3 linked regions of the Sus scrofa genome follow. The protein of the gene in region 3 binds, or shares a complex with, the protein of the main gene of each other region. Links are inferred from orthologs where the notes say so. Each region holds a gene or a part of one and is shown on either strand. Other genes may lie near its edges.

Region 1 (3,750 bases), on a different chromosome or scaffold from region 3:
CTGCTGGATATGAATGGCAATAAACAATTGCATTCATCAAATATTTATGGCATACCTACTATGCACTAGGCATTTAGGCACTGGGGACAGAAATGTGAACAAGTTAGAGAAAAATGTGTCTCCATCAAGCTTGTTAGAGTCCAGCAGTGGGGGAAGCAACGGGCCGAATAAATGAGGACAGGGTAACGTATGTTCGAGAATTCATTATCTGTGCAGAAAACTAAATTGGGTGTGTGGGGGTGGGGCAGGCGGTGGCCTTGGGCAAGACTTGAATGGCAGCAGCCATTCGCCTGCGGGCAGCGCGGGGAAGAGCTTTGAAGGCTGAGGGAACAGCCAGTGAGAAGGCCTGAGGCTCTGGTCTGGCTGGGAGGCCCACCCCTAAACAGGTGAAGCAAGATGGGTGCCGTCGCGTCCGTTATGGACTAAGAGCTGCCGTGTCATGAACACCTACTGTGTGCCAGGCATGGTGTGTCATCTTACTTCAGCCTCACACCTCTGGGGGCTAAGGTTCCCATTCCCGTCTTGTAGATGTGGAAATCGAGATTCAGAGAGGGTGTGTGATGTGCCCAGGGTCACACAGCAGGCAAGCAGTGCTGCTGGGCTCCCCTTGACTCACTCCCCAGCCCCCACCCCGGGTCCCTGCAACTCTGGGGGGCTGAGGAAGTGATGCTGACTTTGGCTCTTTATGGATGAGCAGGACTTGGCCAAATAGAACAGGCAGGCACCTGCAGCCCAGAGGGACTAGCCCGCTGGAGTGAAATGCAGGGAGAGCTGGCCTCGGAGGCACATCGGGCGTGGCCTTCCTTGCAGAGGGAACAGCGTGTGCAAAGGCCAGGAGGCCTGGTGCGCTCCAGACACAGAGACTGGCCTCAGGGTGTGGGTTCAGCACGAAGATCCAATAGCAGGGGGCCCCCAGCAGCCCTGGGGGGGGGGCAGGGCATCTGATGGCAGAGGCAGCCAGGGTCCTGGGGACACTCACCTGGGCGCCATGTGGCTTCCCCTCAGCAGGACAGGCTGAGTCAGGGAGGAGTCACACCCTCTCGGGAGGCGGGGGGGCCTGAAAGGACAGTTGCTGGGAGAGGTGGCCCATCTTGGCATGGGGGCATAGGTGGGCAGAGCTGGCTGGGGGTGAGGGTGAAGGGAGGCTAACCAGGACCCGCCCGGGGGTGGGGGGAGGCGGGGGTGGGGTGCTGAGCTGGGGGCGGGGCACCACTCTCCGTTTCTGGGATTGTTGAATTTCATCCTGGGGGGGGCAGAGGGGGGTCCACCCATGAGGAATCTGAGGCACAGATGAGTGATGATGTGGGGGAGCGTCCCAGCACGCCCCACTCACGGTCGTGGCTTCACCCACTGCCCCGTGCCCTCCAGTCCTCATCCATCCTTTGTCTTTGTCCCCTGGCGCCTCAGAGACAGCCTGTGAGAGCTACGGAGGGACACTGAGGCCCCAGGAGGGAAGGAGGGTGCAAGGCAGGGGCCGGGGCAGGGCCTGGCTGACTTGGCTTTCTTCCCTGCCTTGGGCACAGGAGCCGAGCAGCCATGGCCTATCACAGCTTCCTGGTGGAGCCCATCAGCTGCCACGCCTGGAACAAGGACCGCACCCGTGAGTGCCCCGCCCTCCCCGAGATGATGGGAGAGGCTTCACCTCCGACCCTGAGCTTTTGGGAGGGGAGACCCAAGCAGGGCAGCAAGACTAGTGGCCATGGAAGGTGGAGGCAAGAGCCCAGCCTCACCTGTGCTGGGCGCCCCTCCAGGGGCCAGGCCCTCTGCTCTCAGGCTGGGGAGGGAAATGTGACCTGCAGTGAGGTCAGCTCTAAAGAGACCTGCAGGGTGAGGGCCAAGTGGTGGAGCAGAGGTGCTGGTTTAGAAAAAATGACCAGGGAGGGCCTTTCAGGGGAAGGTGACATTTGCACAGAGGCTTACAGGAGGTGAAGGGGCCAGCCTGCTGAGGCCACAGCAGGTGAGAGGCCCCGAAGCGGCAGAGCCAGCAGGGCTGTGGCTGGAGCTGGGAAGCAGGTGCAAGCTCCCGGAAGTGGCAAGACTGCCTGGGGCATCGGGGGTGGCGGGTGTGGGTAAGGGGTTGTCAGCCCCTGCGGAGGTGTCACAAGGGGGGGCCCAGCAGGACCTGAGGGGCTTCGGGGGGCTCCTCCCAGGCAGAGAGTTGCAAAGGACAAGGTAACTGATCTGGTGGCCTGTCCAGGGTATTCCTCATGGGGGGTGAGAGCCAGGCATGCACGCTTCCTCTCACTCCCTGCACCCGCCCGTCTCTCCCGCAGAGATTGCCATCTGCCCCAACAACCACGAGGTGCACATCTACGAGAAGAGTGGGAACAAGTGGGTCCAGGTGCACGAGCTCAAGGAGCACAATGGGCAGGTGACAGGTAGGTTGCGCTGGCTAGGGTCGCTCTCTTGAAAGGAGGCAGGAGGGATGGGGCAGGGCTGGACCGGACAGGGCCTGCCCACTGTATTAGGTTGGATAGTTTGGGTCAAAAGTAGCACAAACCCTGATTCAAACTGGCTGAAGTTATAAAGGGATTGCATTGGTTTATGTTACTGAAAAACTCAGATGTTATTCAGGCTTCAGGAAACGCTTGATCCAGCAGCTCAGCATTACTAAGGACCCATTTCTGCCTCTTGGCTTGGTCTTCCTGCATGTTTTGTGATAGTTGGGAGAGCTGTAGCACCCCCAGAGCAATGTCCATCCTTATTATGGCCTCTAAGCCCCTCCTGGGTGGACACTGTTAGAACCACATCTGCTTGGATGGCTTCAGTCTAGTGCCTCCTCTCCACCCTATAGGCATTGACTGGGCCCCTGAGAGTAACCGCATCGTGACTTGCGGCACAGACCGCAACGCCTACGTGTGGACGCTGAAGGGCCGCACGTGGAAGCCTACCCTTGTCATCCTGCGCATCAACCGTGCTGCTCGCTGTGTGCGCTGGGCCCCCCAGGAGAACAAGTTTGCTGTGGGCAGTGGCTCCCGTGTCATCTCCATCTGCTATTTTGAGCAGGAAAATGACTGGTGGGTGCCCGGGCAGGGCCAGAGTGGTCTGAGGGGGGTACCTGGGGCTGCAGATCAAGAGGTGGTGCGACAGGAGGGTCCCAAAAAGCACTGGCCGGGGTATCCAGACCCCTGTTCATATGTCCCTGGGGAAGGGTGTCCCCTCCAGACCTCGTAGGTGAGGCGAGGGGCTCCCCGCACAGCCACTGGCCCTCCCACTGCCCCGTCTCAGTCATAAGGGCACAGGCCACACCAGGGCTGCCTCTGCAGGGTGGCACTAACTCTGCACACATTTTGGCATTGACGCCCCGCCCCCAGCAGCCCCCTGGACCGGCGTCTGTTGCCGTCCCCACTTTACAGGTGAGCAAAGGCTCTGGGGCAAATCACTTGCCCAAGACGCCCAGCCTGTCCCGCTCCAGGGCCCACTCACAGGCTCCCAGTCACGCCATGATCTTCTCCCCTGGGTCCCTGAGAGCAGAGGCCAGGCAGGAGGTCAGGCTGGAGCCCTGGAGACCCAAGTTCAAATCCCACCCTGGCCAGTTAGCAGCCACGTGACTTCTCCTTACTGAGCCTGCCCCAGAGTTGTTGCAGGGCTTAAAGGAGACCAGGGCTGAAGTTCCCACCCTGGGTGAGAGCCCGCCCATCACCCGCCTGAGCTGCCAGAGCCTGGCCCTGCCCTCCTGGGACTCCTATGCAGCCTGCAGGGCCCCGTGGGAGCCCGAGCCTCTGGGGCAGCGAGGTGGGCAGGTGCCCC
Region 2 (3,322 bases), on a different chromosome or scaffold from region 3:
CATTAAGCAATACCTCTCTATTCCCCCTTCTCCCCAGCTCCGGGTACCCTCCAATCTACTTTCGGTCTCTATGAATTTGCTTATTCTAGATATTTCATATAAGTAGAATCACACAGTACTTATCCTTTTGTGTCTCGTTTATTTCACTCTGCTGATTTTCAAGGTTCATTCATGCTACACTATGCACCAGAATGTCCTTTTTCAGGTTGAATAATATTCCATCATGTGTATGTATCACATTTTGTTTAACTGTTCATCTGTCCATGGGCGCTTTGGTCATTGTTAAGGAATTCTTGATTTTATTGCTTATTTTCTTCTCAATGTTTTGATGTAGTTCAAAGTTCAAGGTTTATCATTTAAGTAAAAGGTTGCGTTTAATAAACAATTATCACTGTTAACAAATCAACATCTCAAGGCCAGTAAGCATGAATCTCAATTTTCATTTTCATGGAATTTCTTCACAATAACAAAGAAGTATAACCCAAAAGTTAAAATAGTTATTTAGGTGAGGGAGGTTGTCAATCTTATTCTCTATTCCAAAGGAAACAGTCATTCAGAAGTCATACAGATCTACAACTCATAACTTACCTTTTCGTGCCACTGTAGTAACATGGCACTGCTATTGTCAGAGGGGCTCTCAAAGCCTTTATAAATATACTTCATTAGCAGATCCACGCCATTCTTGTCCAGGGACTGAACTGCTTTTTCAATATCGTTAGCTTTAAAAGAGATGAGCACCTTCAAGACAATGCTGCCTGCTCGATCCTGAGGGGAATAAATACCAGATCATTTAGACATGCGTGGGGGTAGTTTCAGAAAGGTCACATTGAGAATGTGACGTCTGAGCAAAGACATGAAGGACAAGAAAGGGGAAACCTTGGGTGTCTCTGAGGAAAGTATTTCAAGCACAGGAAGGAGGAACTGCTGTTAATGTGTGGTCAGTATATTCAAGGGTCAAGGAATAGCAAAAAGACCCAAGGTGGCTGCAGCGGAGGAAGAAGGGTAGACAGGACGTCAGAGCCGAGGTGGGAAGAGGACATAAGCCCTGCGGGCCCTTGGGAGGGCTCTGGCTTCCAGTCAGAGAAATGAGATGTTGGAAGATTCTCAAAAGAACAGTGATATAATCTTACATTGTAGCAAGACCATGTTGGCTGCCTTGTAGAGCGTAAGCCTGGGGCCGTGGGGGTTGGGGAGGGCAGGGAGAGCTTCAGATAAGGCAGAAGCAGAAGCAGGGAACCAGTTTGGAAGTTATTGCAAAAGACAGGCTGGTTTTGGCTAGCATGGTAGCAGCAGAGGTGGTCAGAAGTGGACAGATTATTATTATCATTTTTAATGGTATTTTATTTTATTAAAGCTTTTTTTTTCTTTTTTCTTTTTAGGGCCACACTCGCGGCATATGGAGGTTCCTGGGCCAGGGATCAAATCTGAGCTGCAACTGTGACCTACACCACAGCTGCTGCAACACCGGATGCTTAACCCACTGCACGGGGCTGGGGAGCTGAACCTGTGCTGCCACAGAGACAATGCAGGACCATTAACCCACTGCACCACAGCAGGAACTCCTATTTAAGTAAAAAAAAATTTTTTTTTTCTCTGACAGATTCTTGATATATTTGAAGGTAGAGGTGAAAGAAAAGAATTTGCTTACAGATAGACAGATGTGATAATTTACCAACGTATTAAATCAACACACTTTATTTCTTGATCTTTTTCTTTTTTTGCTCTTTAGGGCAGCACCCGAGCCACATGGAGGTTCCCAGGCTGGGGGTCGAATCGGAGCTATAGCTGCCAGCCTACACCACAGCTCACGGCAATGCCGGGTCCTTAACCCACTGAGCGAGGCCAGGGATTGAACCCACAACCTCATGGTTCCTAGTCAGATTGATTTCTGCTGTGCCACAATGGGAACTCCTATTTCTTGATCTTAAAAATAAAAACAAAAAAGGAAACTAAATTGCAATTCTATCTTGAACCATCCTTCAGAAATAAGTTATTAATAAGCAAAAATTTAAGTTTTTAAGAAAACATTTTAAGTTTTGGATTATGACCTTTTTTCTTTGATAAAAGGCAGTTCCAACAGCAAAGTCATTTTTTCACCCATCAAGCCCAGCACAGGGAACCTTAACTTCCCCTTTTTCACAATGTTTCTCCTATTCCACACAAAGTGCTATCTTCAATACTCCCACTGGTCAGGATTTTGCAGTATGTCTCTACCACCTGTTGTTATCGTCAGCTTAAAGACCATGTAATTACTCTATTTAGAAAAACATCCCTGCACCCAGAGCTATGACCTCCCACCCACAAGCTATGATTAAAAAAAAACACCCATATGAAAACAGAAGGTGGTAAAACTAAAATTTCAATGACTTTACATACTTTAAAAAACCCCAATTTTCCCCCGTATAAAAGATTATGTTGTCTAGATAATTATTACGCATTAACCTAAGTTATTACTTACGACTATTCAACTAAGGGGATTCTTGGGGCTTCTAGAATGTATGAATAGCTACCGACAGTGGTGTCAATGCTCTGGGCTTCATTTTATTTTATTTTATTTTATTTATTTATTTATTTTTGTCTTTTTGCCATTTCTTGGGCCGCTCCCACGGCATATGGAGGTTCCCAGGCTAGGGGTCTAATCGGAGCTGAAGCTGCTGGCCTACACCAGGGCCACAGCAATGCTGGATCCGAGCTGCGTCTGCAACCCACACCACAGCTCACGGCAACGCCGGATCGTCAACCCACTGAGCAAGGGCAGGGATTGAACCTGCAACCTCATGGTTCCTAGTCGGATTCGTTAACCACTGCGCCACGACGGGAACTCCCTGGGCTTCATTTTAAACAATAAATAAGTAAATAGGGTCTTAAGAATTACTGAAAGACTGCTACAGGGAATGTTTATACAGCTTTTCTGAAGGGCAATTTGGCAATATCATATATACCAAAGCTTTAAAAAATGTGCAGTCTAAAATCCAGTAATTCACATCTAGAAATTTATTCAAAAAAAAGTTAAGAATTTACGCAAACTGTTGATTTCAGTACTGTTTACAAGAGAAAGGTCAATAATCTAAACATATGACAAAAGGAGATGAGTTATATATAAACTACACTATTATCTATACTCAGCCATTAAAAAGGATATTGTAGAAATAAACTTATTGCCAAGGAAAGAGGTTCATGCACATTGCTGTATGGCTGAAAAAGCAGGTTATAAAATTCCATTTTCATAAAAAAAACATGCATAGGAAAACTCTTTAAGCATAGAGCAACACCAAAAAGTAATAATTATCTATGGGTAGTGGGATTATATATGATTACCTTT
Region 3 (3,650 bases):
CCAACAAAAACTCAGACCTCAGGAATACTCTGGGGAAAAAGTTAAATAGTAACAAAGTGTAAAGGTCTGAAATACTAGGAAATGAGAAATCCATGCAGGTTCTGCTAAAATTATTCTCATCAGTTGTGTGCAATGTGAAATGGTCCTCAGTGATGCACAGATATTCTTGCAAAATCATCTGCAGGCTTTTAGACAGATAATAATTTTTCAGTTCTATAATAAATTGTCTCCAGCCCTGTTGGAATTTGTACTCAGCGCTTAGTAAGAGGCAGCATAGTGTAGTCATCAGCTGACTTGGATTTCAGTCCCTGTTCTGCCCTGTTTATTATGACCCCCCATGTTCAAGCTTTTTTTTTTTTTTTTTTTTTTTTTTTTTTGGCTTTTTGCTTTTTAGGGCCGCGCTCAGGGCATATGGAAGTTCCCAGGCTAGGGGTTGAATTAGAGCTACAGCTGCCAGCCTACACCACAGCCACAGCAATGCAGGATTTGAATCAAACCTGTGACCTGCCACAGCTCACAGCAAGGCCAGATCCCCAGTCCACTGAGCGAGGCCAGGAATCAAACCCACATCATCATGGTAATAGATTCGATTCCGCTGTACCACAACAGGAGGTCCTCCAGGCACTTTAAATACTGTACATTCTTATACTTCTCCCAATAGCCTTCTCCAACTAGAGGTTAGGCAGTTTGTCCATGGTCACAAGTGGCAAGGCCAGGGTTTGAACCAAGTTTCATTCAGCTCCAAAGAGTGTTGCCTCTACCTCCATATCATGCTGCATTTTGCTTCTTTGAACCTCATTTTCCCTCTAAAATGAGAATAACTATATCTGGCATGCCAACTTCAAAGAATTCTTAATGGAGATCAAAGGAAATACAATATTTTAAAACACTTTGAGACTTTTACAGTGTACACAAAAGCCATTGGGGAGGAATATGTACATGTTTTTTTCCCAGGACTTGCCTCCATCCTCAGGGTTTGTAATGGCATGTAAATGGGTATGTTTTATTATCAAAAAAGCAGCCCAGCTGCTGACCTTGTTGGCACTTGGCATGTTCAACTATCAGAGAAAAATATGTAACTCACATCTAGCTTGATAGAGTATTCAAGCTATCAACTGTGCCTGAAATACTAAATTTCTAATCAGAGTTCCCTGATTATAAGTTCCTCCCATTCCATATTTGTAATTGGTCATCTTTAATATTGATTCACATTTTTGCATAGCATTCGTTAGTTTATTTCTGTGTGCATGTGTGTAGTAATTTTACAAGAATTAAGGTTTTATTTCACCCCCTTTGCACTGTGAGGTAGATAGGAATGGAAGGCATTCTACCTGGGTTAAAGTACAGACACTGAAAAGTTCCTTTATGGCACAGCAGGTTAAGAATCCAGTGTTGTCACTTCAGCAGCTTCGGTCGCTGCTATGGCGTGAGTTCAGTCCCTGGCCCAGTAACTTCCACATACCATAGGTGCAGGAAAAAAAAAGTACAGACACTGAGACAAAGTAAAATGTTTATAGAGCCTAAAAGGTTTTTTTCCCTCCCAGGCTATAATGTCTCTTTGCTCTACGACCTTGAAAATCTTCCTGCGTCCAAGGATTCCATCGTGCATCAGGCTGGCATGTTGAAACGAAACTGTTTTGCCTCTGTCTTCGAGAAATACTTCCAATTCCAAGAAGAGGGCAAGGAAGGAGAGAACAGAGCAGTTATCCATTATAGGGATGATGAGACCATGTGAGTATAGAATTTGGTCCTGAAGCCTGGGTGTGGCTGTCACATGCCGAAAGATTCAGCTAAGTCAGACCTTAAACTCTATTGTGTGAATCCTCCCATGTATCTTTCCATAAAATTCTTTAAGCCAAGATGTAAGAGGTAGCGGGGCATGAAAAGGCCACTTCTCCTAAAGTTCCAGATACTGAAAAGTTGGCAAAAGATGAAAAGGGAATCCACTGCTGTCCTTAAAGGTACACCATTTTGAGTCCCTCCAGTAATACAGCAGATAGTCAGCAAGCAGAGGGTGACTGTGTTGTTGCAGCTCTTAGGTTATCTACATACTGTAAATCTCATAGTATATAAAGGAATACATTTTGGAATTCCCTCGTGGCTCTGCAGGTTGGGGATCTAGCATTGTCACTTCTGTGGTGTGGGTTCGACCCCTAGTTTAGGAACTTGTGTATGCCACAGGCGCAGCCAAATAAGTAAAACTGAGCTTTTGGAGTTCCCATTGTGACTCAGCGGGTCTAGAGCCCAACTAGTATCCATGAGGATATGGGTTCGATCCCTGGCCTTGCTCAGTGGGTTAAGGATCCGGCGTCGCCTTGAACTGTGGGTAGGTCACAGGCACAGTTCAGATTCTTAGTTGTGGCTGTGGCTTGGACCAGCAGCTGTAGATCCGATTCGACCCTAGCCTGGGAACTTCCATATGCCTCGGTTATGGCCCTAAAAAGCAAAAAGTAAATAAATAAAGTAGAATTCTGAGAATTATTAATTCAAGATTTCATGTCATACTGTATAGACTAGTTAATCATAACATTGACTTTGGGTGATTTTCATCTGCTTCTCCTTGGGCATGCATTTATTATACTGACTTACCAGCCTTAAATACTTAGTGTCACTGGTACATCTTATTTTATGAATTTAGACATTTATAACTTTACTCTCTGGCTTCGGTTGTAGGTCAAGCTTGACAAAACCTTGTTCTGATTCTGTACTTAACTCATGGGTTTTGTTCCCCTCAGGTATGTTGAGTCTAAAAAGGACAGAGTCACAGTAGTCTTCAGCACAGTGTTTAAGGATGACGACGATGTGGTCATTGGAAAGGTGTTCATGCAGGTATGGAGCAGACATCTTGGGGGGGAACCATGGCTGATGACCTGTACCTTGGCACCAAAGCATACCATAAGCATAGAAAAGAACTGGCAGCTCTAATGATGCTGAAACTTATTCAAGACTTCATTAAACAGTTCCCATCAAATTCACTGATTTTTTTTCTTCTTAGTGGCTTTAGCCTTTTGCAAGACTGGACTAGAGGACGAATTGAATATTAAACATACTAACAAAGTGACAAAATATTAAGCATCCTTTTTGCCATGAGGTCTTTGATTTAAAGTTTGGCCACACTTTCTACCCTCTTCAAGTTTCTAGCAAGGTCTGTTCTTGTCTTGGTTTAGTCCTAAAGTCTTTTCGAAATGGAGTCTAGAGAACATTCTTAAGTACTAGGTAACACATTAGTAGGGTAGAGTTGTTGACCTAAAAGTGAAGAGAATGGGCCTGAGTTTGACCGAGGTCACCGTGGAGTATCTCCCTCTGAAGAAGCTCATCCACGAAGGAGAGTAATGGCGTTTAGCAGGACATTTTGTAATTAGATTTCTGGTGCCCTTGGGCTCAAGTCAGAGATAATGCACCACTGTTACTTTGTTGTGCTGTCTGCTAACCAGTTGTTGGCTTTTGGACATGAGACCTCATTGGTGAAGTGGTATCCTGGCTGGTTTCTTTTGAGATGGCTCAGCATTCAAATCTAGTACAGTGGTTAAATTTTCCAAAAACCTTGTACATTCATTTTGTTCCTTGGCAGAGTGAAGAGATTTAAGAACTCCAGGACAGGAGTTCCCATCATGGCTCAGTGGTTAACAAATCTGACTAGGAACCATGAG

What was found.
Region 1: ARPC2 (region 3) and ARPC1B share a complex: the UniProt entries of both Homo sapiens proteins name them as parts of the arp2/3 complex. The link is inferred for Sus scrofa from reciprocal best matches to the Homo sapiens genes ARPC2 and ARPC1B.
Region 2: ARPC2 (region 3) and ARPC5 share a complex: the UniProt entries of both Homo sapiens proteins name them as parts of the arp2/3 complex. The link is inferred for Sus scrofa from reciprocal best matches to the Homo sapiens genes ARPC2 and ARPC5.

The regions. Positions count from the first base shown.
Region 1 is NC_010445.4:6,334,963-6,338,712, forward strand, and holds the start of ARPC1B (actin-related protein 2/3 complex subunit 1B), read left to right. Parts: upstream 1-1,536; coding exon 1,537-1,600; intron 1,601-2,273; coding exon 2,274-2,378; intron 2,379-2,794; coding exon 2,795-3,017; intron 3,018-3,750. UniProt on the Homo sapiens protein: Component of the Arp2/3 complex, a multiprotein complex that mediates actin polymerization upon stimulation by nucleation-promoting factor (NPF).
Region 2 is NC_010451.4:124,841,607-124,844,928, forward strand, and holds part of ARPC5 (actin-related protein 2/3 complex subunit 5), read right to left. Parts: intron 766-3,322; coding exon 589-765; intron 1-588. UniProt on the Homo sapiens protein: Component of the Arp2/3 complex, a multiprotein complex that mediates actin polymerization upon stimulation by nucleation-promoting factor (NPF).
Region 3 is NC_010457.5:120,314,122-120,317,771, forward strand, and holds part of ARPC2 (actin-related protein 2/3 complex subunit 2), read left to right. Parts: intron 1-1,544; coding exon 1,545-1,731; intron 1,732-2,735; coding exon 2,736-2,829; intron 2,830-3,650. UniProt on the Homo sapiens protein: Actin-binding component of the Arp2/3 complex, a multiprotein complex that mediates actin polymerization upon stimulation by nucleation-promoting factor (NPF).